Linked DNA regions of Kluyveromyces lactis. The protein of the gene in region 2 purifies or fractionates together with the protein of the main gene of each other region. This does not show direct contact. Links are inferred from orthologs where the notes say so. Each region holds a gene or a part of one and is shown on either strand. Other genes may lie near its edges.

What was found.
Region 1: the proteins of ZUO1 (region 2) and RPS3 purify together in Saccharomyces cerevisiae (affinity purification with mass spectrometry; 3 studies listed by BioGRID). This does not show direct contact. The link is inferred for Kluyveromyces lactis from reciprocal best matches to the Saccharomyces cerevisiae genes ZUO1 and RPS3.
Region 3: the proteins of ZUO1 (region 2) and KLLA0_A04730g purify together in Saccharomyces cerevisiae (affinity purification with mass spectrometry, with the first as the bait; 3 studies listed by BioGRID). This does not show direct contact. The link is inferred for Kluyveromyces lactis from reciprocal best matches to the Saccharomyces cerevisiae genes ZUO1 and TIF4631.
Region 4: the proteins of ZUO1 (region 2) and SCP160 purify together in Saccharomyces cerevisiae (affinity purification with mass spectrometry; 3 studies listed by BioGRID). This does not show direct contact. The link is inferred for Kluyveromyces lactis from reciprocal best matches to the Saccharomyces cerevisiae genes ZUO1 and SCP160.

Annotation. Positions count from the first base shown.
Region 1 is NC_006040.1:701,879-709,630, forward strand, and holds RPS3 (40S ribosomal protein uS3), read right to left. Parts: upstream 4,461-7,752; coding exon 3,747-4,460; downstream 1-3,746. Other genes in the region: TDA7 (Tda7p), read left to right, coding at 9-1,175; MRPL22 (mitochondrial 54S ribosomal protein uL22m), read left to right, coding at 1,577-2,476; SHR3 (Shr3p), read right to left, coding at 2,719-3,327; Rho family GTPase RHO5, read left to right, coding at 6,362-7,126; PBR1 (putative oxidoreductase), read right to left, coding at 7,513-7,752. UniProt on the Saccharomyces cerevisiae protein: Component of the ribosome, a large ribonucleoprotein complex responsible for the synthesis of proteins in the cell.
Region 2 is NC_006042.1:288,939-297,215, forward strand, and holds ZUO1 (zuotin), read right to left. Parts: upstream 1,878-8,277; coding exon 576-1,877; downstream 1-575. Other genes in the region: KLLA0_F03146g (arylsulfatase), read right to left, coding at 2,277-3,944; KLLA0_F03168g (uncharacterized protein), read left to right, coding at 5,323-6,879; KLLA0_F03179g (DUF5137 domain-containing protein), read right to left, coding at 7,183-7,464; carbamoyl-phosphate synthase (glutamine-hydrolyzing) CPA2, read right to left, coding at 7,945-8,277. UniProt on the Saccharomyces cerevisiae protein: Component of the ribosome-associated complex (RAC), a heterodimeric chaperone complex involved in regulation of accurate translation termination and in folding or maintaining nascent polypeptides in a folding-competent state.
Region 3 is NC_006037.1:421,480-427,382, reverse strand, and holds KLLA0_A04730g (uncharacterized protein), read left to right. Parts: upstream 1-2,454; coding exon 2,455-5,520; downstream 5,521-5,903. Other genes in the region: N-acetylglucosaminyldiphosphodolichol N-acetylglucosaminyltransferase catalytic subunit ALG13, read right to left, coding at 1-120; proteasome regulatory particle base subunit RPT6, read left to right, coding at 559-1,773. UniProt on the Saccharomyces cerevisiae protein: Component of the eIF4F complex, which interacts with the mRNA cap structure and serves as an initial point of assembly for the translation apparatus.
Region 4 is NC_006040.1:200,285-209,378, reverse strand, and holds SCP160 (Scp160p), read left to right. Parts: upstream 1-3,315; coding exon 3,316-6,933; downstream 6,934-9,094. Other genes in the region: KLLA0_D02442g (CAP domain-containing protein), read left to right, coding at 660-1,766; KLLA0_D02420g (CAP domain-containing protein), read left to right, coding at 2,197-2,835; Rab family GTPase YPT52, read right to left, coding at 7,244-7,867; KLLA0_D02354g (uncharacterized protein), read right to left, coding at 8,322-9,094. UniProt on the Saccharomyces cerevisiae protein: Involved in the control of mitotic chromosome transmission. Required during cell division for faithful partitioning of the ER-nuclear envelope membranes which, in S.cerevisiae, enclose the duplicated chromosomes.

The DNA.
Region 1 (7,752 bases), on a different chromosome or scaffold from region 2:
ACCTAAAGATGTTGTTCAACACTACCACTGACGGTACTGATTATTCATCTGTTGTTTCTTCGTCAGATACACTGACAGAAAGTTCGGAGTCGTTCTCACAAAGCGTTGCTAGTTTACGAACGGATTACATCAACCCTGACTCAGGAAATTCTACGCAGCAGCCACATGGTATGAAGACCAGGACGGTTCTGGTATATCCAAACAGATCACATTCGGATTCGGATTCACCTGGCATAGTATCGCCATCTACAGTTTGGGTACCGCCGTCAACAGATGATTCAACGTCGCATACAGATGTAGACACGGCAATGGTGACGGTACTTGAGATGAGCTCAGGACCGAGCAACATAGTAATGCAAACAATTTATCCCGAGAACACCGCGACCCAAGAATACACATCTGTTGAGGGTACAGAAGCTACTGCCACTGTGCCTACACCGACTTGGTTAACGTTGACCACTGAAGTACCGTCTTCTGAAACTGTGGTTTATTACACACGAGATTTCATCTTTACTGACACTTCAACCACCTTTACTAAAGGACTACCGACACTTACAGTGATACCCACAGAGGCTACTTTCACTACACCTACAGGTCCAGTTGTGACTGACACATCTTTTTACGAAAGATGGCTATCTGGCGCATTGGATTCCAACTCAACATCGTCTGGATCAAATAAAGATACAATAATCGGTGGTGTAATAGGAAGCGTGGGAGGTCTGGCGCTAATGATACTGGTGATCTATTTATTATTTAGGAAGAGACGAAGGAGAAATCTTATCGAACACGAAAAGAGCTTCTCCCACGACATTGGGAGAAAAATGGGATACGACGATATCGGAACGTTTATTGCACAGTCTCAGCAAACCACCAAGACTACAACCAGAGTATCGACGACTGCTCATAATAATAACAAAGTTTCAAAAAGTTTGCCCTCAGTGCCTCCATATGTTGCAGATTCTGTCAGGAGGCCACAGACGACAAATCCATTCGACGACGAATATGTTGTATCGATTGCAGATCCAGAGTCTCAGACGCCTTCCACAACATCACTACATTCATCCTTTGTGTCATCTTCCACCGATGAGGGTACACATGACACTGAAATGTCAGTTACTTACGATGAAAACCCACAGAACGCTCACGGATATTTAACGGAACTAATCGAACACTGATCTTACCAAACTCTAATTACAAAGTTTTCAAATTTGTACTTAAATTTTCCCTTCTATTCAATATACTTCTTTGTGCATCTTCAGTTATATAGTTCATATTTAAGGTTTAATTCCTAGCAATTCCACACTAACGCTTTTCTAATTTGTGATCTTACAACCCGTCAAGATAGTCGGACTTCAATATCTTCCTCCACACAGTAGAACCATTCCTTATATCTTCATGCCCGTTCACGATGATTTATATTTCCTAACCATCGAACAAAAAAATTTTGATAATCAAACATTGTACAGAAGAAGGATTGATCAAAGTAATAAAATGCCTACAGTATAATACTAGAGGCACGTGTAAATTACATGGTTAGTTGCAGGCTCTGTCATCAGTTCAACCTATATAAAATTTAATGCTATCGAGGACAGTAACTAGCCTGTTCGGCTTGGGAAAGGCTTCCGGTGTAAGAAGTTTTCAAGCTTCAGCATTGCAGCTACAAAAATCTGCACAAGGTTCGCTATTCGGTGAAGTCACCGATGGAGTGAATCCGTTGAAGGATGACGATCCAAATAAACTATCTAATAAGTTGACTACTGCTACCGAACTGTCAGATGATTTGGATGCTGCTACCCAGCTGGCAGAGGCTAAAAAGAAAGTTACAGCAGCCAATGATACACAATTACAGAAATATATCGAAGAACAAGACCCCATGATCAAAAGTTTACCAGAATTTTTGTTACCAAGAGTTAAGAAGGAATTCTATGAACAACAGGTTAGGTTGAACGGTGGGTTTTACGACAAAAGCGTGCGCCCTAAAGATCGTTCTTTGAGATTAACGAATGAAGAATTAGAAGTGCTTGAACCTAGTGTCTATGTTAAATCTTACAGAGTAAAATCATCTATGAAGAAGGCCACACAGCTGCTTAGACTTTTGAACGGATTGGACGCTAAGAAAGCTTTGACTCAATGTCATTTCTCCGATAAAAAGGTTGCCCGTGATGTTGCCGAATTATTGGAGCGCGGTATTAATGATGGTGTGAAGCTTGGCTTGGATGCCAATGACCTATACATCTCCCAGATATGGACCGGCAGTGATGGATTTTGGCAAAAACGTGTCGAATGGAAGGGTAGAGGTAGACGTGGTCTCATTGAACACCCATATGTGCATATCAAATGCATATTGAAGACCAAGAGTGTAACGAAGAGAAGACTAGAGCACGAAGCCAAACTAAAAGAACAAAGGAAGAAACCGTGGGTTCAATTAGCAGATAAACCCATCAGAGGTTCTATGGGTGGTGTTTACAAATGGTAATGAGATATTAAACATTATCATATTACGTTTATTTCCAATGATAATGGGTGAAGATAATATACAGCAATTAAATCATCAATAATAAGGTCCTTAGATTGTCTTTGGGTTTCATCTCAAGTTATCCATGTCGGAATAGCCAAGTATTTCATATCATTTATATAATATATAGAACAAGAGCTTGTAAATAGTGAAAGCAACGCGAAATACTTCACCGCATCAAACTGTAAGGAAACAAATTTCGTCTATTTCTTCTTCTTAGATTCCGTTTTAGCTGGTTCAGTAGTTTTCTCCGCCTTCTGTTGGTTAGCGGCAGATTCCTTCAATTGGTCTTTCCTCCATTGATCTAATCTTTGTTCATATTCCCAGGTACTGTACCACAAACCTCCTTGCAACACTAAGACACCAGCAAAGACAATTAAAATAATGATATTGGAAGAGGCAACAACAGCAATACCTTGCGCCTCAGAGACTTCACCCCAGTTATGGTAAACCGCAGATTCAACACCGGTCTTGATATTTGTTAAGAAAACACAGATACCCAAAACGTACAAAGCCAATGAACCGTATTCAAATAATTGCAAATCTGGATTTGGCTTGTATACCCTAATCAAGGAACCAATGACTCCCACAATGGCCACCGCACCAAGCATATAAAGGGTTGGCTTGGCCGTGTAGAATAGAGTCTGGTAGTGTTTCAAAGCGTTCTCAAAATGCTCCGGCGTGGCAGCAGGATTGAATAGGATATTATAGTCATATGGTTGATTAGAAAAGAAGATCCCCATCAAAAAAGTAGTTGATCCAATGATCAATGCTGTACCTACAGCACAAAAATCCTTATAAGTTAGGCCCATATTTACTTTCAGTCAATGTGTTTAGTGAGCGATACCTACGTTCTCTTAAAAATGGAACGTATAGACCCTACGTGTGGTATTAAATGGTTAACAATTCATCTATAATTGAGCCATTGGTTTTTTCAGTACGCACTATATATTCTCTTTTTTTTTAATAATTTACATGATTTTTGCCCACCGAATTTTTTTGATTAGTATGAAAGATAAAGGAACTGAAAGGCGGAAAGGCATTATCGGAAGGCGCTATCGATAAATCATTTTAAAAATCCATTGATAAAAGCAGGACGTTTTAATCGATGTCATCTGGGCATAGATTACTTATTTTTAAAAGAATTGATGAGTTTCTTAATATTTATACATATAAGAACGGTATTTAATAGACTAATTAATAATATAGAATCAAACAGATATCAATTGATTTAAGCAGATTCAGCAGCTTCAACTGGTTCAGTTGGTCTGTAATCCTTGACAGAAGGTTCCAAAACTGGTTCTTCTTCCTTTGGTTCGATGATGGTAACAGCATCTGGCAAAGCCTTTGGACCAGAGGTGTTTCTAGATGGGTCCTTCATGATCTTAACCTTAATACCCAAAACACCTTGTCTCAACAAAACGTGTCTGGTAGCGGTTTCAATGAAGTCGTTGACTGGTTGACCGGAGTGGATCAAGAAACCGTCAGCGAACTTCATGGACTTGGCTCTAGCAGCTCTCAACTTACCGGAGATGACAACTTCACAACCCTTGGCACCAGATTCCATAACGTATCTGACAACACCGTAAGCAGCTCTTCTGATGGCCAAACCGTTCAACAATTTGAACTTCATGGATTCAGCTTGAGCAACAGCGGACAAACCACGGTCATGGACTCTTTCAGCGTATAAAGCAATGGTACCACGCTTGTACTTGAATCTCTTTTCAATCAACAAGGTCAATTCGTTGATTCTTCTACCATTTTCACCAACAACATCTTGAACCTTAGTAGCTCTGATGATAATTTCGGTCTTGGTTGGAGTAACTCTGACTTCGACACCAGAGTAACCTTCTTCAGCCAATTCTCTGGTGAAGAATTCGTTCAATTCGGCGTAGAAAACACCGTCAGCGACAAGCTTTCTCTTCTTGGAGATAATGGCAACCATTTTTACTTTATTTGTTCGTCGGGGAGCTCGAAATTATAGGTGATAATAAAACTAACTAAAGTAAGTATCTTGTATGTCCAATGGCACTTATGTTCATAATGAACCAGATTGTAAAGCGATGATGAGAACAATATTCGTCAAACCGTCCGAATCGCTGCGATTGGTATGGTGAAAATGAAAAAATCATCTGAAAGACAGTATTTACTCACCAACACATGTGGTGTATGGGTTAATGCTTCAGATAAATGAACATTTTCAATGAGATAAGTACCCAAAATGGCAATGCAGAAAAAATTGGAAAAAAAACTAAAACAAAAATGTCCGGGTGAGCAGTCCCAGGAACATATATTTTCAAGTCACCTGGTAAGCGTAGAAAACTCGCCGTAAACAGAAAACTTCAAGACCGTTCCTCCATTTCCTAATGGGGAAGTTCCTAAATAGGATTTATACGCGAGATGTTCCACCCCCTGCATTGGTTTATGTGAATACTCGAGAGCCTTGTGGTAACTCGCATCACTTAGGAAACAGACAACACAATTGTTTCAACGAATAATAAAATGGGAAATAACATAGGAATTCCAGACAATGTTGCAATCACGGCGTGTCACAGCTGCATACTTGTTATTCCGAAAAGAAAGTACGTCAATATTGACCGGGTTTTAGCAGGTATATGACCCAATATTGCTTCGGGTAATTACAGGATGCCGTTTCGTTTTCTCTCTCTCTCTCTGTTTCTCACAATTTGAACGAAAAAAAAGAATAATATTGGGAGCCAGTACACCTGCAGAGGGTACAGCGAGCACACTCGAATATACGGAATGTACCAGAAATGCCTCAACCTACCTACCCACTACAATCCATTATAACAACTACCTTTTCATGTTCCTAGTAAGTTTTCCCTAAGGCCAAAAAAAAAAAAAGAAAATGAAAATCAGCTACTTGCTCACTCGAAACAAGCACATCGATTGGTGCAACTTGTGTGAATAAAAAGAAAGAACCATGTAGGTAGGCAGCTCATTTTGTAAATGGTTTTCTGAGATGTTCGGACTCCTGCACAGCCTTTATAATGGGCCAATCAATTCCACTTTGTAACTTACTAGTTCACTCGTAGATCCTTTTACTGGTTGCCTATACAGTTTATTCCGTCTACCGCACAAAGCACAAAACTGCGCTATTCACTCCATTTCCTAGAGCCAGTACCTAAGAAATCGGTAAGACGACCATTTCTGATTGTTTTCAATTGACAGTCTACACTGTTTGGCCTAGTCTGGCGTCCGAAACAGCAGCAACGTTCGTAGTGTGCGATTATCTGAATGAGGAAATAACAGACCCCACTGGCCCCACTTATACCAGTGGCCACTTCTGACCGTCAAAAATGCAGCCGAGCTTAACCAGTTATGCTGTTTCCAATATCGACTGCATTAGCATTCATTCTACCTAGCGCGTCTCGATATTTTTTCATTTTTTTTTTCCTTTCCGCTTTTATGATCCAGAGCCCATCTCAGTAAATTCTCGTTAATCTTATATATAGCGTTACTGATCAGTTGATAACCTAACGCTTGTAGGTAAAATGTAATTGTAAGCGGAGTATACTATATATCATCTTCTTTCCGAAAAATGTATTTGTTTATTTTCGTCTTTGGTCAATTGAGTTCAAACTGTAACTGAATTGATATTCAAAGTCATCTGTTCTTATCGCTTTGTTTCAATTCCCATTGAAAAGGTTCTTAATTTTGATTTTAAGACGGAAAAAAATAAACCAAAAATTGGCTTCTTTCAAGACAAAGAAATCAATCAAAGGCCATAAGTTTAAACTTTAATCGACAAGGGGATCCAAATATTAAAGTAGGACCCAACCACAAAAAAAAAAATAATCATAATACAACCTAACTATCGGAGAGATGAGGTCTATTAAGTGTGTGATCGTAGGCGATGGTGCGGTCGGTAAGACATCGTTATTAATTTCGTACACTACGAATACTTTCCCACAGGATTATATCCCAACTGTTTTTGATAACTATTCGACTACCATTGCTCTTCCGGATCCATATAATCCGGATTCTGAGCCTCAGATTTTCAAGTTAAACCTGTGGGATACCGCTGGTCAAGAAGAATATGACAGACTGAGACCTTTATCGTACCCTCAAACTGACATATTCCTAATATGTTTCTCGGTAAATGAACCTAACAGTTTTGAGAACGTTTACGATAAATGGTTCCCTGAGATTAAACACAGTACAAATTTCGAGAACTTGGATCTTTATCATCAAAGCGGGAAATTGCCAATCTTATTGGTTGGTACCAAGGCCGATTTGAGAGATGATGACCATGAACGTGACCGTTTACAAGAGTCTAACTCCGACTTTGTTTCCCAACAACAAATTCAGGAATTGGTTAACAAATTGGGGTTAATGGGTTACGTTGAATGTTCTGCTGCCACTCAGGTAGGTGTCCGTGAAGTTTTCGAGAAGGCTGTCGACTGCGTTGTATTTGAACCGGACAGATTAGTCAGAGAATCTCTACAACAAAAGCAACAGGCACAAGATTCTCAACAAAAACCAAAAACAAAACAAGTTAACAAGAAAAACACCACTGCTCAACCTGAAAGCAGTACAAAACCTCAAAAGTCAAAGAGATCAATCAAGCGTAAATGTACTATTTTATAGAGTGGATTCATTTCCTTTTTTTTTTTTTGTTCCTTACTTCCTGGTTTTCCTATCGTTCGGTATACGTTCTGTCTATCGGTTTTCTTCCCCTCCTTCTTCCCTTCTTTCCTTCAATGAACTTATTATTCAATGACTATTATAATTCACGTTTTAATTTTTTATCTTTACGTTACTGACCAGGACTAACCTGTCTGGTGGGTGCCATTTATGTCTTTCTTTTCCTTCGTTATTTTACGAAAAATCGAAAAGTTCGTTCTTATATACATGATGTATGGGATAAGAATAATGCTGATGTTTAAATATCCTGTAATTTTACCTTATAAATTTCTTGACGCAACTACGTAACGTTAAGCATTACTTCAAAATTCGTCGGATTCCGGAAAGTGCTAATCTTTTTTCGTTGAGGCCTTCTTTGGATTTGGTTTTGTGTTCTTTTTCTGATCCTTTGTTTCCTTCTTGCTTGCCTGGTTTCTTTGAGCAGCCATCTTCTTCTCCACAGATTCAATCTGTTTGATTGTGTTTTCGTAAAGTTTCTCTTGAAGCTCTTTATCATAAAACTCTTTCCTAGCAAAGTTAACAATTGAGCAATTTGCAATATATTTCACTTCATCGTCTGTTCGGTTCAC
Region 2 (8,277 bases):
TACGGTGAGCTATACTTCCAAAACGACACAAGTAATGGCAGCTCGCAAAATAGGTTCCAATTCCTTAGATATCCACTACCACTGAACTTTCACTATGTTTTCACACCTGTTCTCGTTTGGTTCCAGTACTCTGCAAAAAAAAACTGATCTGTCTTTTAGGTTGGGTCCTTTTTTCTCCCACACTGTTATTGTTTTTGATTTTTCAGTACTGATCAATACTGGACGTTGAACTACCGTATATATATAGTATAACCTAAAATTTTCATACTATTTGAGGTTTACCACATCAGTCCATGTATGAAGCCCGATGCTACGATAAACCAGTAAGCGCTTGAAGTATTTGTTCATTTCTGCTTGCAATTCGGATTTTACTTTTATACCATCTTAAAGTCGGTATTTATATAAGCGATACCACTATCTGACTTTCCTGGAAACCGAAGTAATAGGTAGCTGTCAGATTTTACTGGTATATATATATAAATCGAAGGGTTAAATAGCAGAGCCAATGTCAGTAGACTATGTTATATGCTATATATTTCCTCTGGGCTGGTTTTGAACTGATCTCATCTTTAAATTTATAAGTAGTAAGAGACAATAGCAGCCGGTAATTTCCCAGCGTCAGTCAAAGCCTTTGCTGCATCAGACAATATGTTTTTAGCAGCAGCAGTATCACTCTTGATCTTTTCAGCAACGTCAACCAATTGTTCGTCGTCCAAAGAGTCGACAATCAAACCAGTTTGTTCCTCGATGGTAGTGGATTTGTCGGCATCACCAAAGTAATCAGCATCCTTTGGAGCGTTACGGATACTTCTCTTATTCTTCTTCTTAGCAGCCTTAGCAGCTTCCTTGGCCTTCTTTTTGTCAACCTTGGCAGATGCGGCTTGAGCAGCGTCCGCTTCAGCCTTAGCCTTAGCTTCAGCTTCAGCCTTGGCCTTGGCTTCAGCTTCGGCTCTAGCACCGGCTTCCCTTTCCCATTTCTTTCTTTCCTTTTCCTTCTTTTCTTCTTCCTTGAATTGCTTGATACGTGGATCTTCGTTCATGGCTCTTTCGACTAATTTCACCAAACGAGCGTTGTCAGCAGTCTTCTTCTTATCTCTGGCCGCCTTGTTCTTTCTTTCGATGTAACGCTTGTGATCTCTGTTGGAAGAATCATCAGGAACTTCTTCATCCAAGAACTCGAATGTTCTCCAAGAGTCGAATCTGTGCCAGAAAGAGTAGAACTTTTCAACGTCTTCCTTGGAAGTGTTCATATCACCCAAAGTTGGTACATCCTTCTTCTTGGAGAAACGAGCTTCAGATTCGAAAACAGGAGCCCAAGCTTCAAAGAAGTCGTAGTTAGTACCCTTCTTTGGCGGAGCTACATCAGCTTCGAAGTCACAAGAATCATATTGCGGTCTCTTGTTGGAGTCAGTCAAAGTTTCATATGCTTTTTGAATAATCTTGAAGAAACCATCTTGGTCTAAGCTAGCACCAGAGGCAGAAGTCTTATCAGGGTGATACTTCAAGACTTGCTTTCTGTGAGCCTTAATAATTTGTTGGTTAGTGGCTCTGTAACGTAACTTGGATAGACCCATAGCAGCGTACAAGTCAGCAGTCTTCCAGTCTCTTGCGTCGTGAGTTAACAAACTTTCGTCAGCTAACTCAGTGTCGAACAACAACTCGTCTGGATCGACATTGGACTGTTCAACGTTTTGAACATTCTTTTCAGCCTCAATCTTCTCGAACTCAGACCATGTGTGGTTTCTCAAAGTTCTTTGAGCGTGGTGCAAGAAGAATTTACCAACTGGTTCAATAGGACGTCTAATGGATGGTGTTAGTTTAGCACCAGATTCAACAGTGGCACCGACGGCACCAGATAATGGAGGTAGTTCAAACATTGCTTTGATTGCTGTTATCGGTCTGACGTATGATTATTTGTGTCTGGACAGAACGGTATAACCCATCGTTCATCAAAATTAAGACCAGATATAATGCACATGAGAACATCTTGATAATTTTTTTCTTCTTCCTATAGATGCGATGAGCTCGAAGTAAAAATAATTGCGAAAAAAATCAACACATTGAAAACGACGTAGCTTGAAATGAATAGAATTATCTATTATATATAGGTTATTTCTGCCTAGATAAAATGATACAACTACGACAAGCGTATGAGTAACGAATAACATACCCTTTTCATATTGGGTCTCGAATACGGATTGGTGTAACTGATGTTGCTTTTCGAACGCAGCTGCAACTTCAAAACTAAGAGATTTTTAAGTTGATATAGCTAACGATTAATAGTCATCAAGTACTCTTTTCACATAATGGGCATTATCGAAGACAGAGTCTTCTAATTCGATGAGTCCAGTTTCTGCTTTATACACAGACCAGTGATCAATTATCTTTTCTAAGATATCTGGGTGCTCTTTGGACAAATCTGTAGTCTCACCAGGGTCTTCATCAATGTTGAAAAGTAACCAGTGACCAGGGCCAAATGGGGGTGGAATATACACACCTTTATAAGGACCTTGGCGAATGGCACGTTGACCAAATAATTCCCAACCAGTGACCCTGGTATCGTCATATATTCTTTCGGATTCTTTTTTTAAGAAAGGAATCCATGACAAACCTCTTGGTTCGTGCACCTTGCGACCTTCAAATGAGGTACCTGGATGAGGAACGTTAGCCAATTCTAAAACACTAGGTAAAATGTCCATAACTGTTGTAAACTGGTCGATGATTTGACCTGGTTCCCATAGTCCTGTTAATTGTGGAGCATGTAAGATAAGAGGACAATTGATACCACCTTCAGTTGCCCACATTTTATACATATAATTTGGAGCAGTAGCTGCTTGAGCCCACAAATCACCATAATAAACAAAACTGTTTGTTTTACCAATGTTGTCAAAATCGTTGTTATAATCGGACGATATTCTTTCCTTGAAAGTGGAACCTCCAAACGGCAATGCCTCCATTAACATACCTTCAGCACCATTGTCTGACATAAACATGATGACAGTGTTGTCGAATTCATCGGTTTCCTTCAAATGATCGATAACTCTACCGATATTTTGGTCTAATTCATCAACCATCGCGGCATAAATTTCCATAATACGGCTTTCGTAGGCCTTTCCCTTATCATCTAATTCATCCCAAGTCTTTTCTCTTTGAGTTTCTACTAAATGAGCAACAACATCAGCTGGAACAATACCAAGATCTCTAGCTCTTTCCAATCTTTGTCTTCTCAATGCCTGGGGACCACCATTATACTTACCTTTGTATTTTGCGATAGTCTCAGCAGGAGCCTGTAATGGCCAATGTGGAGCTGTGTAGGTCAACTGGCCAAAGAATGGGCGACCTTTTCTTTCTTCATCATCCTTCAAATATTCCAAAAATTTATCTGTGAAGTAAGTGGTGGAATAAAAGTTTTCTGGAAACTTGTTATGGTCTACCCTTTCGCCATTTTCCTGATAAATCCATGGGAGAAGAAACTTGCTATCCAAATTGCATTTGAAATGGTTTCCTGCACCAGGCAGCAAGGTAAAACGTTTTTGGAATCCACGGTCACTTGGCCAATATGGCTTTTCTAATCCAAGGTGCCATTTCCCCGAAATCAGCGTGTAATATTCTGGGGATAATATTTCAGGCAATGCAGCAACCTTATAGTTCAAATAACCTTCATAACCAGGTTTATCCTTGAACTTTTCTGGAAATTGCCTGGCATATTCAGCCATTTGGCCCAAACCTGCCAAATGGTTGTCAGTACCGCTCAACAACATCGATCTAGTTGGCGAACATGCCGATGCAGTATGAAAACCAGTGAATCTGAAACCACCTTTAGACAATTTATCAAGGTTTGGCGTTTGTATTTCACCTCCAAAACTCGACACATCTGTAAACCCTAAATCATCGGCGACAATAATTAAGAAATTCGGCTTTTTAGGTTCATCTGTTTTGGTCATTGCAATTCGATTGTACTTTTCTCTAATGCAGTTTGCGGATTTTCGGATAGATCATAGAGTAACAATTGGTTAGTATACCTTCACAATTCCTAAAAGACCATGATGACAGGTGAGATGATCCATATTTATATTGTAAATTATGTCATTTAAAGCTTTACTCGAAGTGATAAAAAGGGTGACAGTAAAAAAGTTTCAAGGTAAGAACTTTCTGTAAACTCTCATGATCGGGTGGAGCGAACAGTAACCGGTTAATTTAGTAATACCTTACACTTCCAGAGAAAAGCCCGGTACTTTCCAGTTTGCCCAGAATTTAGCAGTCAAACGGAGTCTTTTTGAGTCTTTTCTTCCAAAATCTTACAAACATTATGATCTAGCAAGAAAAACATCACAATTTCATGTCCTCTTTCTTGAGCGGATGGGCTTGCTGTATCTATTTTGGTTATGACAACCTGCAAAATTAGGAGAAGTCACGTGCTATTAAGTTTGGTAGCGCCCAACAGTTCAGCATCAAGTGCATGTATTCCGTATCCACAGATAAGTAACCAAATGCCTGTTAATGTTCACCTACGGCTTGACAGGTAATATGTGTTTAATTTTAGATGTGAGATGTCCCCACAAATGCGTTGGCATGTTGCATCACCTGCATTAGCTTCTTACTTGGCCACCCATTATGTTACCCGGTCACTTTTCATGGAGGCCCTCAAATAGCTGAGGTATTGAATGTCTGAAACTGGGAAACAGCGCCTAAAGTAAATACGAAAAGTTACCCGCTCTTTTGAACAACCTCAAGACTTTCGCAATAAAATACCAGAAGAGGCAGTGGGTCTGCAATAAATGGAGATCTTCAAAATTTTCCGATAAGCTCACCAGAACTCAGCGCAATGGTTTTGTCGCTTACTGAAAGGGCACGAACAGTTTTCAAAAAATAAAAAAAAATGATATGAGCTTCCTCTGTTACTTCCACTGGAAAGTCACGTGACAAATACCGACTATTTACCTTCAGAATCATAGTTAATATAGTTGACAACCGGTTCGAGTAGCCAATTCCAGAATTTCTCTACCTAGTTCCTCTGTTCATTGTCGTTATGTCTGATACAGGTTATGCATGTACAAATTATTATACGACAGATGGAGTCACTTGCAAACCTAATACGTTGACGTTGATGGTCTCCTCCGGAACTTCGGAATCTGCATTGAACGTTACGTAAAAAATTGGAAAATAGTCTAAAAAAGAATATGCCAACTGCAGGAGTATATCATATATATATTTGGGGAGGATCCATACGCAGTTGAATAGCATTGGATTCTGGGAGGTGTCTTTAAAGGTTTGTTAACATTTCGATATCTCATGTGTGAGTGAAGTAAACTTCTTTTAGATATGTCATCCGATTCAATGGGTGTAAAGGGAATTGATGGGCAATTAACACAAGCTGCAATGTCAAATATTGAAACTATCGAGTTGAAAGGTATTAATGAACAAAGGACGAGGAAGAACGTTATCGGATCAGAAGTAGGTATAAATATAAATGAACTACAGCCCGTCCAAAGTTTTGATAATGATGACGGAGGTTCAGATGCCTATACAGATTACGATGACGATGGTTTTACGTATGCTGAGGGAGGGATCGCAGCTTGGCTAGTTGTTCTTGGCTCATTTTTAGGTATTTTACCTACATGGGGGTTGTATTTTTCAGCAGGTGTCATTCAAACGTACGTTGCACGTCACCAGTTAAAGGATGAGTCAACATCTACAGTATCGTGGATTTTCTCTGTTTCGAGTTGTTTGTTATTAGGGACAAGTGTCTTCAGTGGGATGTATTTTGACAGATATGGTGCTAGAAAACCTTTAGTGATAGGTACAGTAATGACCGTTGGGGGTGTATTGGCAGTAGCACAATGTACTAAAGTGTGGCAGTTTATTCTTGCATTGAGTGTTTGCGTTGGCACAGGATCAGGTATTACGTCTAGTCCGTTATTGGGATGTATCTGTCACCATTTTCAGAAGCGAAGAGCTATTGCCACTGCAGTTGCCATTAACGGTGGGAGTATTGGTGGTGTTATTTTCCCATTATTCTTAGAAAAATCGTTTAAAAATTTGGGGTTCGCCTGGACTATGAGAATTATGGCTTTAATTTGTGGAGTATGTTTGACTGTTTCGATGTTTTTAATCAAGGAAGACCCCGAGAAACGTGCGGCTGTCGAACCGAAAGATGCTAGCACTCCTTTCCACAAGAATTTACTTTACAACATAAGAGATTCCTTTGATTACAAGTCTATAGTATCCGATCAAAAGTATCTGTTTTGTGTTTTAGCTTCGTGTTTGGCTGAGGTATCTACTGGTGCCGTTTTAACCTATATCACATCTTACTGTACAACGGTAGGGTATTCTGAGAATACTTCATTTTTACTTGTCACCATTTTGAACACCTTAAGTATTGTCGGGGGATACATGTTTAGTTTTTTGGCTGATAAAGTGATGGGCAGATTTAACGTCATGATCATGATCAATTTCTTGTTAGGATTTGTCCCGCTAATATTTTGGTTACCTTTCGGAAACATAGGTCCTTCGGTAATGTACGGATTTTCCGCAGTCTATGGTTTGTTTTATGGGTCATTGATTAATCTCGCTCCAGTCTGCTGCGGTCAAATTTCAAGGACAAACGAGTTTGGAAGAAGGTATGCAACAATGTATTGTTTCGTTGGTCTTTCATTTCTAGTTGCAATTCCAGTCTCAGGTGTTATCATCGGTGATGGTTCCTTAAAGAATTATAACAACTTTATCATCTATGTTTCTGTATTGTCCATGATTTCTAGTGGTTTATATACGATGAGCAAATGTTACGCGGTTAAACAAAAGCTTAATAGATCACCTAGAAATGCGCACAATAATACAATTCTATCTTCTGTATTTGCTTTTGTTACAAAGAAATTCTGAACTTTTACATCTGGCTTATATCTAATTTGCATCTTTCCTTATGTTACCAATTTTTATTCCTTTTGAGCTATTGTTTCCTCTGCCAATTAGTCAAATGTCAACCGATAACAACAGTTCTTCATGAGTCATTGGGATATAACACTGAACGTATTGAGTCAGTACTAGTTTTTACTGTGATTATAAATTTTGTATATATACATATTACGCAATGTCATTAAAATCGTTACATGGATTTGTGGAGGAAGCACCGCTCACCCATTATATTGAAAGAAGAGGAAAATAGTCAACTCTGTGATACGGCCCTCACTTTCTCTGTCTTTTAATACCGTGAAGCTCATTAGGAGGATCTGAATTGGAATTGGAATATGTTGTATTTGTCACCATCTTCGAATCTGAACGTTCTGATCTATCTCTTTTAAGGTTGTCATCTGTTATTTCCTTGATAGGTGGTAGAGCCGGCAGTTTTTCAGGTTGTAGGCTTCTGGTATACATTTCAGAGTTGATGATTTGCTGAGTATCATCAGTTTCCCAGTCGCTATTATCGGGTTCCTCCAGGTACCAGCCATATGGATCGTTTTCATCCATGTTGCACTGCCAACTAGGTTTTCAGAAGTGTCTTGGTATTGCCTCAAATCACACTTTCTGATTAAACCTAATCAGCGAAGGTAGCAGTAATTTGCTATATTAGAACACTGTTGTAGGGAAGCATGAACGTATCACAGCTCAATAACTACACTTTTAGGGACTTAATCAACGTCTCAGGTATTTAATATGATAGATACAATTCTACTTCGTTAGCATCTTTCAAGGCACTTTTCTTTTTTTTTTACATCAAAGGTGAACTCTGGGGTTTTTTCAACTATATTGTATGGCTCTTTATGGATCTCTAACTACAACCTTAGAGACAACGACTACAGTATCGTTGAAAAATCGAATAACATTTATCAAGTTTATCATCTATGTATTATTAAGAAATATGTTCGTATATACAAACTTTTTGGTGTAATACCAATTAAGAGAATTATTATTAATTTATTTTGATTTTGAGATTAATTTGAAGGATAATTAAATTGGTTTGCAGTGTAAGTACTCACTCCAGGTACGGACTTCATGAGGAACAATAACATCCTTAGATTCCAAAACCTTCACCTTTTCTGCAATCTTCAGACTCATAGCTTTCGCAAATAGCATAGCAGTTTGTGGCTCATTGAATAATGGAAGGGCAAAGTCAATAGCATTTCTTCTCATGATATAATCTACATCTTCTAGGCTCTCTGCTCTCTTGGCGGCAAGATTGAATACAGCACTGATATCCTTGGCTTGGAAGAGTTCACGCAACTTTCTCTTGTCATTTTTTGGGAATTCGATTAGTTCGACTGAAACGCCCTTGCTGAACGT
Region 3 (5,903 bases), on a different chromosome or scaffold from region 2:
CACAATTCTGCCATACCCTAAAACTTTCAACTTCTCTGTGACAGATCTATCAAGTACTGTTTCTACCAGTCTGGGGAAAGAGACAGTAGCTCCGCAAGTTACAAGAACAGTGTTATTCATTGTTTTCTCTATTTGGATCTAAATTATCGATTCGGCGAACCGCACCTCGCCGATGATGTTATTCACGACTACTTGCAACCTGCATAGATCTGGTTAGCTATGCTTGTGATGATTACTGAAATCATAATCATTTTCAACGGACATGCTCATACTTAAGGACTTACAGTTTGAAAGTTAAAATTTAAGGCATTATAAACGTTGAAAAGCTGTAATCTTTAAACACAATCTTAGAGTAAAACGAGTGGCAAACACAAATTGCAAGGGCTTTCCGATCCAATAGTGGTATTTAAGATAGAAGACACGAATTATCATTCATTTGAGAAGGTACTGATACCATAATTCCTTATAATTGCCACTAGAAAGTAAACTATCTCTTGGGATTAAAAAGAATAAGAGAAGCGTTAAAAACTAAAGAAAAACTAACCTATACTGTAAAGGATGAGTGCTGTACAAATTTCGAGTATTCCTTTGACGAGCCATGACTCTGGTATCAAGCCTTTCTTTGACCAAAAAATCCAGGAAAGTGAGCTTAGGATCAGAGAAAAGACATCGAATTTGCGTAGACTAGAGGCTCAAAGAAATGCGTTGAATGATAAGGTCAGATTTATAAAGGATGAATTGAGGCTCTTGCAGGAATCTGGATCATACGTGGGAGAAGTGTTGAAAGTTATCAGTGAGAAAAAAGTTTTGGTGAAAGTTCAGCCTGAAGGAAAATATATTGTTGATGTTGCTAAGGATATCAACGTCAAGGACTTGAAAGTATCACAGCGTGTATGCTTGAAGAGTGACTCGTACCAATTACATAAGGTGTTGGAGAACAAGGTAGATCCGTTAGTGTCTCTAATGATGGTCGAAAAAGTACCTGATTCTACATACGATATGGTGGGTGGGTTAACGAAGCAGATTAAAGAAATCAAGGAAGTCATTGAATTACCAGTGAAACACCCAGAACTATTCGAAAGTCTTGGTATCGCTCAACCTAAAGGTGTTATTCTATACGGTCCGCCAGGTACTGGTAAGACTTTACTAGCGAGAGCCGTAGCACATCACACAGACTGTAAATTTATCAGAGTAAGTGGTGCCGAATTGGTGCAAAAATATATCGGTGAAGGTTCCCGTATGGTCCGTGAGTTATTCGTGATGGCTAGAGAACATGCGCCTTCTATCATTTTCATGGACGAAATCGATTCTATCGGTTCCAGTCGTGTTGAAGGATCTGGCGGTGGTGATTCCGAAGTGCAAAGAACCATGTTGGAATTGTTGAATCAATTGGACGGGTTTGAAACTTCGAAAAACATTAAAATCATCATGGCTACAAACAGATTGGATATATTGGACCCTGCATTGCTAAGACCAGGTAGAATTGATAGAAAAATCGAATTCCCACCACCAACCGTAGCGGCTAGAACAGAGATTCTAAGAATCCACTCAAGAAAGATGAACTTGACCCGTGGTATTAACCTAAGGAAAGTCGCCGAAAAGATGAACGGATGCTCTGGAGCTGACGTTAAAGGTGTTTGTACCGAGGCTGGTATGTACGCACTAAGGGAACGTAGAATTCACGTAACCCAAGAAGATTTTGAACTAGCCGTGGCCAAGGTCATGAACAAGAACGACGAAACTGCTATCTCTGTAGCAAAATTGTTCAAGTAAGGATCCTTCACCCCTTTCATCTCAAACAGCGCATATCATTAGATACATCCCTACATATTATACATAAGCCACGTACAACACACGCCTGTGGTTGTACCCCCGTGTCAATATGTTTCTAATCAGATCCTCTCTTTTTCCCCCTCATCGCATCTCATCTCGTCATAAACTTGACCATCATGTCAATCTTCTCAATATACACGAAAGAAGAAAAAAAAAATTTTTACATTGTAAAGAGGAAAAGCTGTGAATCTTTTGAAATAAAATTTCAACCTTTAAGCCATTGAATTTTACCATTACGATAGCACATTTTGCATAAAACAGGATAGAGGAAAAGAGGCACAGAGAGCTACTGCTGATCTGATAGTCAATAGATTTATCAGCACTTGTATTGTTTGAATTGTTAGAGAGTAACAGTGGACAGTAAAGAAACAAATCTGGGAAAAAAAGAATCTCACAAGAAAGTGATAATTTTTTTTTGTTCTTCGTTTATTTGTTTAAAGAGAAAGAGTTAAGAATTGGACTTTAATTTCATTCTACTCATTCGTGTTTCTATATAACTCGACTCGTTTTCTCTAGGTACTCTGGATTACTCGGTTACAAGAGAGAAATTAAACAGAAAAGAGCTTAGATCCAGCTAATTTCATCTGAAGAAGAGAGAAAGAGCGGTTTTTCAAAGCAGATATGGGCGAACCTACATCCGATCAGCAACCAGCTGTTGAAGCTCCAGTTGTGCAGGAGGAGACAACCAGTTCTCCGCAAAAAAACAGTGGATATGTCAAGAATACTGCTGGAAGCGGTGCTCCTAGAAATGGGAAATATGATGGTAACAGGAAGAACTCTAGGCCTTATAACCAAAGAGGTAACAACAACAATAATAATGGTTCTTCCTCGAATAAGCACTATCAAAAGTATAACCAACCAGCGTACGGTGTTTCTGCGGGATACATTCCGAACTACGGCGTATCGGCAGAGTACAACCCTCTGTACTATAACCAGTACCAACAGCAGCAACAGCTGTACGCTGCTGCTTACCAGACTCCAATGAGCGGACAAGGTTATGTCCCCCCAGTAGTGTCTCCAGCTGCTGTTTCAGCTAAACCAGCGAAGGTTGAGATTACTAACAAGTCTGGTGAACACATAGATATTGCTTCCATTGCTCATCCACATACTCATTCTCATTCTCAATCTCATTCGCGTGCAGTTCCAGTAGTGTCGCCTCCAGCTAACGTTACCGTCGCTGCTGCTGTATCATCCTCTGTGTCTCCATCAGCTTCTCCAGCTGTCAAAGTACAGAGCCCTGCTGCTAATGGTAAGGAACAATCTCCAGCTAAGCCTGAAGAACCAAAGAAGGACACTTTAATTGTGAACGATTTCTTGGAACAAGTTAAAAGACGCAAGGCTGCTTTAGCTGCTAAGAAGGCTGTCGAAGAGAAGGGTCCTGAGGAACCGAAGGAATCTGTCGTTGGAACTGACACTGATGCAAGCGTTGATACTAAGACAGGGCCTACAGCCACTGAATCTGCCAAGTCTGAAGAAGCTCAATCAGAATCACAAGAAAAGACTAAGGAAGAGGCTCCAGCTGAGCCAAAACCATTGACTTTGGCCGAAAAATTGAGACTTAAGAGGATGGAAGCTGCAAAGCAAGCTTCTGCTAAGACCGAGGAACTAAAGACTGAAGAATCTAAGCCTGAAGAAACAAAGACCGAGGAGCTAAAGACTGAAGAATCTAAGCCTGAAGAAACAAAGACCGAGGAGCTAAAGACTGAAGAAACAAAGTCCGAGGAACTAAAGACTGAAGAACCTAAGGCGGAAGAATCAAAGGCGGAAGAACCAAAGCCTGAAGAACCAAAGACCGAGGAACCGACGACTGAACAACCAAAGTCAGATGAACCAAAGTCGGAAGAATCAAAAACTGAAGAGCCAAAAACCGAGGTATTAAAGACTGAAGAACCAAAATCGGAAGAATCAAAGCCTGCAGAACCAAAGACTGAAGAAACAGCAACTGAAGAAACAGCAACTGAAGCAAACGCCGAAGAAGGTGAACCGGCTCCTGCTGGTCCCGTTGAAACTCCTGCTGATGTTGAAACAAAACCTCGAGAAGAGGCTGAAGTTGAAGACGATGGAAAGATTACCATGACCGATTTCCTACAGAAGTTGAAAGAGGTTTCTCCAGTTGATGATATTTATTCCTTCCAATACCCAAGTGACATTACGCCTCCAAATGATAGATATAAAAAGACAAGCATTAAATATGCATACGGACCTGATTTCTTGTATCAGTTCAAAGAAAAGGTCGATGTTAAATACGATCCAGCGTGGATGGCTGAAATGACGAGTAAAATTGTCATCCCTCCTAAGAAGCCTGGTTCAAGCGGAAGAGGCGAAGATAGATTTAGTAAGGGTAAGGTTGGATCTCTAAGAAGTGAAGGCAGATCGGGTTCCAGGTCCAACTCGAAGAAGAAGTCAAAGAGGGATGATAGAAAATCTAATAGATCATACACTTCCAGAAAGGACCGTGAAAGATTCAGAGAGGAAGAAGTCGAAGAGCCAAAGGTTGAGGTTGCCCCATTGGTCCCAAGTGCTAATAGATGGGTTCCTAAATCTAAGATGAAGAAAACAGAAGTCAAGTTAGCTCCAGACGGAACAGAACTTTACGACGCGGAAGAAGCATCAAGAAAGATGAAGTCATTGCTGAATAAATTGACATTAGAAATGTTCGAACCTATTTCTGATGATATCATGAAGATCGCTAACCAATCTAGATGGGAAGAAAAGGGTGAGACTTTGAAGATTGTCATCCAACAAATTTTCAATAAGGCCTGCGATGAACCTCATTGGTCATCAATGTACGCGCAATTATGTGGTAAGGTCGTTAAAGACTTAGATGATAGCATTAAAGACTCAGAAACCCCAGATAAGACTGGTTCTCACTTGGTTTTGCATTACTTAGTCCAAAGATGTCAAACTGAATTCCAAACAGGATGGACTGATCAACTACCTACAAACGAAGACGGTACTCCTCTACAACCTGAAATGATGTCCGATGAATACTATAAGATGGCTGCCGCTAAGAGAAGAGGTTTGGGTTTGGTTCGTTTCATTGGTTTCTTGTACCGTTCGAACTTATTGACTTCCAGAATGGTCTTCTTCTGTTTCAAGAGACTAATGAAGGATATTCAAAACTCTCCTACTGAAGATACTCTAGAGTCTGTATGTGAACTTTTGGAAACAATTGGTGAACAGTTCGAAGGTGCTCGTATTCAAGTTACTGCAGAAGCTGTCATTGAGGGTTCAAGCTTGCTAGACACACTATTCGACCAAATAAAGAACGTGATCGAAAATGGTGACATCTCCAGCAGAATCAAGTTTAAGTTGATCGACATTGTCGAACTAAGAGAAAAGAGGAACTGGAATAGTAAAAATAAGAACGATGGTCCAAAGACCATTGCTCAAATTCACGAAGAAGAAGCCTTGAAGAGGGCTTTGGAGGAAAGAGAAAGAGAAAGAGATCGCCATGGGTCCAGAGGTGGTTCCAGACGTATGAATAGCGAGAGAAACTCTTCTAGAAGAGATTTCTCCTCTCATTCTCACAGTCACAATCAAAATAGAGACGGTTTCACTACTACCAGATCGTCATCAGTGAGATATTCTGAGCCAAAGAAGGAAGAACAAGCTCCAACTCCAACTAAATCTTCTGGTGGCGCTGCCAACATGTTTGATGCATTGATGGATGCCGAAGATGATTAAGTTTGATAGAAATTACCTCGAGTTATTTTACCTTCAACCCTCCCACCTGTGCATATTGTTATGAAAAGAATCAAAGCAAGTATTTACCTATAATATTAATCATGTTTACTGTACAATATAACTGTCATTTAGAGACGTCTACATTACATCTCTCTTAAGGATTCTTCACCTCACTAAATTGGTGATTGAACTGAATATATTGGCACGTGATGTGTAATTACCCTATCGTAGTGTTTTTTTTGCTGCCTTTCTCTACAAGATAAAGTAGATGGTGATTGAAATAGTATTGACATTGAAGTAATATAACAAACTGAACCTTTAAACCAAACTGGAAACAGTGTACAGTTAGGAGCTGATTACTTTTGATTTAAACGCTACATTTC
Region 4 (9,094 bases), on a different chromosome or scaffold from region 2:
CCATGCGAGTAACGGCACGAATAGCACATGTAATAGCACCTGAACGACACCTCAAGATTTGATCATGAACTGAGACCGTTTTGCTACTTTTCCAACAACAGTATAGATTCAGATACAATATGAGGTGTCAGGACTAAATAGCTAAACAGAATATGTAGAATAAAAATCAATTACCAGTACAAATACGGAAACCATAGTAAGCTGTAGAACCTTCACACTGCCCGATTCATAAAACTGGCACCTACAATCTACAACTGGCAAAAGACACTTCCAGATCTGGCATCGGCCAACTCTATTCCTTTCTTTTCTGGTTTCTCATCGTTACCAGATCTGGATCTGGCCTGCTTTGGTACCCTTTTTTTGGTGTGTGAAATCTGCTCTGTTTTAGGTAAACCTATTGAATGTTGTTCCAAACAGGGCATGCTGCTTCCTTTCACACCACCCTGACTCTTTACGTTCTACAGGGATTGATGAACTGACAGCAATGAATACCCTATGTAGGCTATTCAGAGACCCGAATTGGGCAACCCTTTAACCCTTTTCGACATTAGAACCCTCATCCATTAATCAAACATCAATAATAGTACGTTCTTTGTATATACTATTGTTCTAGTTTACTTAGTTATTAGTTGTCTGCCTCCCGAGGTGTTTTAAGTCCCATGCCCTGGCAGTGTAGACACACATTGCGCCGGTGTTTAGCATTTGTCTATTTGGCATTCCTTTTATACTCTCGTATATATTTCTTAACATATATATATGTGTTAATATTCTTTGCTGGTTTCAAGATTTCGTGGTTTAAAGCTAGTATATATATTACAAGAGGTCTTATTTCTTTCTGTCTGAGATTGAAACACCAGGCGCGTTTTATATTTTTTAAAGAACCAGTACCATCCTTTGTCACAATGAAGCTGTCCAATGCCACTCTTTTATCTCTTGCAGCTACTGCTATCGCTGCCCCAGTAGCCACTGTTACTGTTCATGAACACGTTAGACATACCGTCATCGTCGAAGGTTATGTCTACATTGATGGTACCACTACTTCTACCGGATACAGAACTGTAAATGGGCAATCCGTCGAAACTGCTGCCCCAGCCACCGAAACTGACACGGCCGCTTTTGTTACTCAAGTTGTTGCTGCCGGTGCTGCTGCCTCTCCATCGTCTCAAGCTGTCGCTGCTGAGTACGTCTCTGATGAAGATACCACCACTACTGGTGCTCCATCCACCACATCCACTGCTGAACAAACTACTTTGACCCCAACTCCAACCATCGAGCAAACTGCTACCAGTACCCCAGCTACCACTACTGCAGCTACCAGTTCTTCCAGCTCTGACTCTAACCTTTCGTCCTTCGCGTCTTCAATGTTGGATGAGCACAATGCTAAGAGAGCTCTACATAAGGACACTCCAACTTTGTCCTGGTCCGATGAATTGGCCTCTTACGCTCAAAACTACGCTGATGATTACGACTGTTCAGGTTCATTGACTCATTCTGGTGGTCCATACGGTGAGAATTTGGCCATTGGTTATGGTACCACTGGTGCTGTCGATGCTTGGTACAGCGAAATCAAGGATTACAGTTTCTCCAATCCAGATTATTCCTCTAGCACCGGTCATTTCACCCAAGTTGTTTGGAAATCCACCACCAAGGTCGGTTGTGGTATCAAGCAATGTGGTGGTGTATGGGGCGACTACATCATCTGTTCCTACGATCCAGCTGGTAACATGCTAGGTACTTTTGCCTCAAATGTCGAGCCATTGGCTTAAACCCAATCTCATTTCGGATATTTTTGAAACAAATGTCAAACATTTGTCATGGCTCTTACCCACAATACAAATACCAGTTTTATATTTCAGGACAACGAAACAGTTTTTCAGTTCTCAGACAGGAAGATGGTAGATTATCGTTTGATTATCCCGGTCGTCTGCTGGCGTCACTATCTTATTTTACTCTAGAATTCAGTCCGTATTTTTTAGATACCTTTTGTCGTTTTATGTATACGTTTTTATACCCTATCAGTTTTCTTGCAAATTCCATACAATCCTGGAACACAGAGCTATCGGCAGAGCTTGCAACTTGATAGCTTATAAACAGGGCCATTAATGTTTCTGGTTTTCGAATGGCTTAAGTATCTATAACCCTTGAGGCATAATTTTTCAGATAGATAAACTTCGGAAATAGAGCAACACCTGCCAAATGAATCAGGTTTACTGGCTCATATTGGTGGTACTAATCCACGCAAAAATCTTGTGTCATGCACAGGGTATAACAGTGACAAAATACAACACTGTTCGAATAATAAGAACGAAAACCGTCTCAACGACAACACATTTCACAACTTCAAGAACAATTGTTTACAGAACAGCCTCCGGCACCTTCACGGAACAAGTGTCCACAAAACCAACGGCCACGGACCCGGATTTCAAAACGGAAATCCTGGACGTGCACAACTCATTACGCAAGAAACATCAGGTTTCATCGCTAGTTTGGGCTCCAGAACTTGCATCTAGAGCACAAAATTTCGCCAATTCTTACGTATGCAACGGGCAATTAGAACACTCAAAGCTGCCTTACGGAGAGAACCTTGCTCTAGGATATAATACTACCTCAGCTGTTCTAGCATGGTATAACGAGGTAAAACTGTACGATTTTAACAACCCACAGTTCGCAGCAAATACAGGACATTTCACCCAGCTGGTATGGAAAAATACCTCGAAACTTGGCTGTGCATTTATACGATGTGGCCAGTATTACGGTCAATATACAGTATGCGAATACGACCCACCGGGGAATGTAATCGGAAAGTTCAGTGAAAATGTCTTACCCGAGAAGTAAAATAGAAAACTGTCCGATGACAGAAGACTTGATAAGCGTTGGTTGATTCTTTCCCTTGCAAATCACGAACTCAGGGTAACCAACACTTCTCCTTTCTTTTCACGGGCTTTCACACGATTTGGATCGTTGTTCTTTTCGAAGCTTCGACAATATGAAGAAATAAGAAGTGAAATTCAGTTAGAGAAAAGAAGGTTTAAAATATAAAAATAGTTAAACTTTGAATCATAGATACCGGTTTCAAGCCACCTAGATTAGCCGAATAAGTGAATTGTGGGATCAATTGGTGTACTATAGAATATACTCAACCGTTTTTCTGTATCATAGTCGTGTGTGTTTGCTTTTTCTCTTTTATTTCCTGTGCTTAATACTCAATCACTCACTATATTGAATATTAGTTAAGGGTATTTGTTTGTTTGTTACTGATTTTTTAGTTTTTGATTTACTGCTTTGTTATAACCGGACCTTCCTTTATTTTCAATAATGTCTGAAATCACTCCTGATGTTGCTGAAGATTATTCTCAAATCGTGGTAGATACGCCACCTTCTTCTGCTGATGATTCGTCGAAATTAGCTGGCCAAACAATTGAACAAACTGAAAAGTCTAATGGTGAAGAAGCTGCCACTGCGCCAGCGGTCAAGGTTTTATTTCCAAGATTGGGAGGAAATGCTGCTGCGTCTGCTTCTGGCAATGCTGTCTCCTGGGGGTCTACTCTGAAATCAGGTAGCTCCGTTAACAGTGTCTCTTCTCTTTCCCATGGCAAAAACGGACGTGCTTCTTCACCTGGTTCTGCTAAGCCATTGCGTTCGAGAAACATTCAGGAAGTGTTCTCGCTAGACTTAGATGCACAATACCAAATCACAAAGACCGAATTCTCCAGCATCGTTCAGTCTGTTAAACAAAAGTACGATGTCTCTGTGGAATCCACACTATCAAAGACTTCGCGTACTTTCTTGATCTCTGGTTCTTCTGACAAGATTGGTCTTGCTAAGAGAGAGTTGGTCAAGAAGTTGACTAAACCTGTCAATGTGACTTTTGAAGTTCCTTCAAAAACTAGATCTGCCATTATCGGATCTGGTGGTAAGACCATCAGAGCAATCTCAGATGCTGCTGGTGTAAAAATCGTGGTTCCGAAGGAGGTTGATGAGGGTACCTACGATTCAGATTTGGAAGACTATTCAGTAACCATCTCTTTACACGGCGATGCTGAATCTGTTCTCGTTGCAAAGAGTAAGATCTTGGACGTCGTGAAGGAGGAAACTAAAAACGCCAAGATTGTTCTTCCTGTCGAGGACTCCAAGTTGGTTCCCTTCATCGATCTAGAATCAGTTGAAATTCCAGCTGATGTAAAGGCGCAGCTGTTTACAAACAATGACCCCGCTGAAATCGCATTAAATGGTCCTCGTGATAATGTTAAATTGGCCAAGGTTAAGGTGATCAACTATTTGAACGAATTGGGTCTAAAGATCGTGGTGAAAAAGGAAAAGGTCCCATTCAAATTCCATCCTTTGGTAAAGCCTTCAGAATTGAATGAGAAGTTCCACGTCGAAGTACAAGCTCCAAGTATTTCCGGCGATGATCAATTCGTTTTCATCGGAAGCTCTGACAACGTCAATGAGGCCATCGTGTACGCTAAGAACTCATCTAAATTCCATACCGTGGAATCATTGGAAATTTCAAAAGCTCATGGTAAAAACGTTAAACATGCTAAGAACTTGATTCTATACTTCCAAAAATATAACGTCTTAGATCAAATTACCGAAGACTTCCCACAAGTGCAAGTAGTTTTACCTAAAGTGGAAAGTATTCCAGCATTGGAATCCGTCAGTATTACCTTAATTTCAAACAACGATGCCGCAGACGCTATCAAGACCGTTCGTAAACAAATTGTAGCTTTGGTTAATGAATTATCTCCAGAACAAACGTTAACTATTTCAGATTTGGATTATCATCTATTCCACAAGGACATCAAGCAAATCTTGGTCTCGACTGAAAGTGATGTCCCATTCATTCAATTGGGTGACTGTTTCCCAGGTAATGACGATATCTTACTAATCACCAAGATCAATGAAGATGATTTCAAGCCATCTGATGATGAACTAAAAGTTAAGCTGGAATCGGTCAACCAACAATTGGAACCAATCAGAAAGAAGCAAAGCCTTTTAGCATCCAATGTTGTTTCCCTTGCCAAAAAAGAACAGGATGAACTACTCGGAGAATCAAAAGTCACTTTGAACTTGATCAATGAAGCTGTTTCTCATGCTGGCGCTCATGCTTTAATCAAGTTGAGCACCCCTTCAGTCAACCAAATTACTATCAGAGGTGATGACCATGGATGTAAGATTGCTTCCGCTGCTGTCAAGTCCATCGTCGAGAATTCATCAACAGAATCCAAGATCACATTCCAAGTTCCAACCAATGTAGTTTCGAGATTGATTGGTCCAAAGGGTGCTAACTTACAACAAATTCGTGAAAAGTTTGACGTTCAAACTTTCATCCCACAAGATTCTAAGGATGAGAATACCGATGTTACATTGACCGGTTTGCAATACAATCTTGACCAAGCGAAAACATATATTCTAGCAGAAGCTAAAAAATGGTCCGATATTATCACTAAGGAATTAATCGTCCCTATGAAGTACCACCGTACATTAAGTGGACCTCAAGGCACTTATCGTATCCGTTTGGAGAACAAGTACTCCGTTTTCATCAGATTTCCTAAGGACAGTGAGTTAGTCACCATCAGAGGTCCATCTCGTGGTGTCAAAGCCGCTTATGATGAACTGAAGGCTCTTTTGGACTTCGAAATTGAAAATGGCCATAAAGAGCTTCTCAAAGTTCCAGTCGACTATGTTACTAGAGTCATAGGTAAAAGTGGTGAAACTATCAACGATATTAAGGCAGAGTATGGTGTTGAGTTAAACTTTTTGGACAAAACCGACAGTGAAAAGGCTAAGGAAGCTGGTGAAGTCGAGTTGGAAATCACTGGTTCTAGATCTAGCATCAAAGAAGCTGCAAACAAAGTCAAATCTATCATTGATCAAGCATCAAATTTTGAGACAGTTACTCTGGAAGATATCGACTCTAAGTATTATAGCGATATCATCGGTCGTAGTGGCTCCCAATTGAAAGAAATTATCAGCAAAGCTGGTGGTGATGAGATTAGAAACAAGAGAGTCAATATCCCTGATGCCTCTTCTGAAGACAAGGTTATCACTATCTTCGGACCATCTGACTTTGTGAAGAAGGTTGTCAAACAAATTAAGGGAGTTGTTTCTGGCTTAGAAAACAGCATTACCGAGGAGCTAAATATTCCACAAGAGAAGTTTGGTGCCTTGATTGGTCCAGCTGGATCAGTAAGACGTGAATTGGAGACAGAATTCAAAGTAAGAATTCATGTTCCAAACAAGAACAGCTCAGATGAAAAGGTCACTGTTTCTGGTTCTCCTGCTAATATTGAATCTTGCAAGAAGAAAATCGAAAAAGAAATCATCAGGGATAGTTTCGACTTGGAAATTGCTGTCCCTGCCAAATACCATTCATACGTTTCTAACTCTGGTTTGATTTTCCAAACGTTAAGAAACGAATTTTCTATTGATGTTTCTCATGGTAACTTGACTAGAACCGCACAAAGTTTATCTCGTGCGAACTACAAGGTTCCTGAAAATGTCGCTGGTGGTGAAAATGAAAGCTCCAACGTCCTCATTCAATCTGTCACAGAAACTGAAGCTAAGGTTGACACAATCCCATGGAGATTAACATACTCACCAATTGACTTGAGTGATGTTTTAGGTGAAGACTATAAGAAAGATGAAGAAAGCAAAGATCAAGTCTTAGAAAAAGCGTCCAAATTGATAGAAGACAGAATCGCCGAGGCTAAACTTGTTAACACCGAAGGTTTCGTTTGGTCCAAGGATGCAAAGAAGTTTAACTCTATTGTTGGACCAAACGGTAGAAATATCAGAGAAATCAGAAATGCCACTAAAACTGTTATCCATGTTCCAAGAAAAAGCGATAAGGTTAACAATGTTATATATGTCCTAGGCTCTGAAGAAGGTGTGAAAAAGGCAGCTGAATTGATCTGCAAGAGATTAAAATAGTTTTAATGTTTTCACTTTGTCCGTTCCTTTGATCCAATTCTTGTATTTATTTCCTCTATTGGTGTTCAACGCTGCACAGATTAGCACTACATAAGCTTACATTAATACCACATAATTAATCATGTATACTGAATACACTTAAAACCTATATCAAAAAATGTAAACAAAACTATTTCTTCAAAATCCTCGGTTGTTCCTCAATGTTAAAGATTTATACGGGCTAGCGTGTGTTTCATGGTTATACGTAAACGTATATATATATTTATTGTGGCCTGAAGATCTATATGCAGGCATACGAATAAAGCCGTCTTCATGAGCAACAAGACTGTGAATCATTTGTACTTGGTCTTTGCAATGATATATTATTATTATTAGGTTTCTTCGATTCCTGTATCTTATCTTTGTTCTGCAAATATAATCTTTCACCAATATCTTGGAAGACTTTGATTACGTTTTCTCCAGTCTTAGCACTGACCTGGTGGAACAACAAATTATTCTCTTGTGCAAACTCGCGTGCGTCCGCTTCATCGACTAAAGAGGTCGATTCCCTTTCAGATACTAGATCCAACTTATTCCCCACAAGACAGATGATCAACTTATCGTCATTTACCTTTTCTTTCAATTCATCAACCCAAAGCTTGGCCTTAGGCAAAGAATCTGGTTCAGTGACATCGTACACAACTAAAGCGGCATTTGCATTACGATAGTACATAGGTGCCAAAGATTTATAGCGTTCCTGACCGGCCGTATCCCAAATTTCAAACTTCAAAACTTGTTCATCATACTCTTCAGATAATTTAATAGTTTGTGAAAGAAAAGCTGCACCTATAGTCGATTCCCTGTACTCATCAAACGAGTCTTTGACGAATCTATGAACAATACTGGATTTTCCAACAGAAGAATCTCCCAACAATACTAATTTGAACTGAAGCATAATTTATGGGAAGTAAATTGCGATATTTTAGAAAGAATCAGCAGTATAGGAAACCTGGGGTTGATATTGGTGAATGCTCGAAACAAAATGTCCAATACGACTTCTACCCGCGGTTACTCGTTCCAGTTTCTCTACTTTTTTATCTTTTTATCTGGAAGGGATGAAACCTGTTGATTCTGAATTTAAAGGTTTCAATGACTGAAAGCCTTTAAGTTGGATAATACGAATTGTCGATCACGTGATTGGTAATTTGAGGGGAGTTCGTGACGTTTAAAACAATGACAAGAGGCTGATTTGGTTGATAAATATAGTTGGGGTGTGTATTGATTAAATAGAATAGAATAAATAGTAGCTAACATTAATCGAATAGAAGTGAAATGAAGTGAAGTGAAGTGAAGTGAAGTGAAGTGAAGTGAAATGAAGTGAAAGAAGTATCGTGCGCATGCTTATTATCTCATTCAGTAGACATCTTAACAAAGCCCAGCTCGTTAAGCCTTTGGATAGCGGCCCCGATCTTCTCTGCTTCCAAGAGTTGTTCTTCCTCGGGCCAATTATCAGCCTCGGAATCCTGCTCAGCGATAGAAGTCATTGAAGAGTTGGAATTAACAGTTGATGCTGCAGTGGTGGTGTTTGCCGATGGCGTGGGTAGTCCGGAGTAGGTGATGTAATCATGCGATATGGAAGAACACACTGAAGATTCACGAGAAACTGGAGGCAAAGGCTCCAATCTGTGAGTTTCCCTGTTGTGTCTAAGATGTAAAAGATTTAATATCGAAGTAGTAGTGTTCGAGATATTATTGATTGGTGATTCGATCAACTTAATGAAAGAGGAGTTGACGAAGGGGCAATGGAATGAGTTATGTGGCGAGACAAAACAGGTTCTGATATCTTGCCTTAGTTGAGGAGAAGAGTACCCTATCAAAAGCTCCAAGATGTTGAGGATCTGAGGTAATCTATGTTCTTGTAGGGGGCAATACAATTCCTCTGAAGCTTGTAGCAACCAGTCGTTGAACTTGTCCTCGAAAATGCATAAGAATCTATTGACAGTGGTTCTTTCGACGGACAGGTTATGAGTATGTAGCAATAGGTAAAGGGATCCAAATTGGATCAAACAATCTTGAAATCCAGCCACGGAGTTGTATGGTTTTCCACTAAGTTCGGTGAAGAGAGACCAATATACTCGAGAATTGGCAGAGAGATACCCGTAGTTGAAACACAAAGCGTACC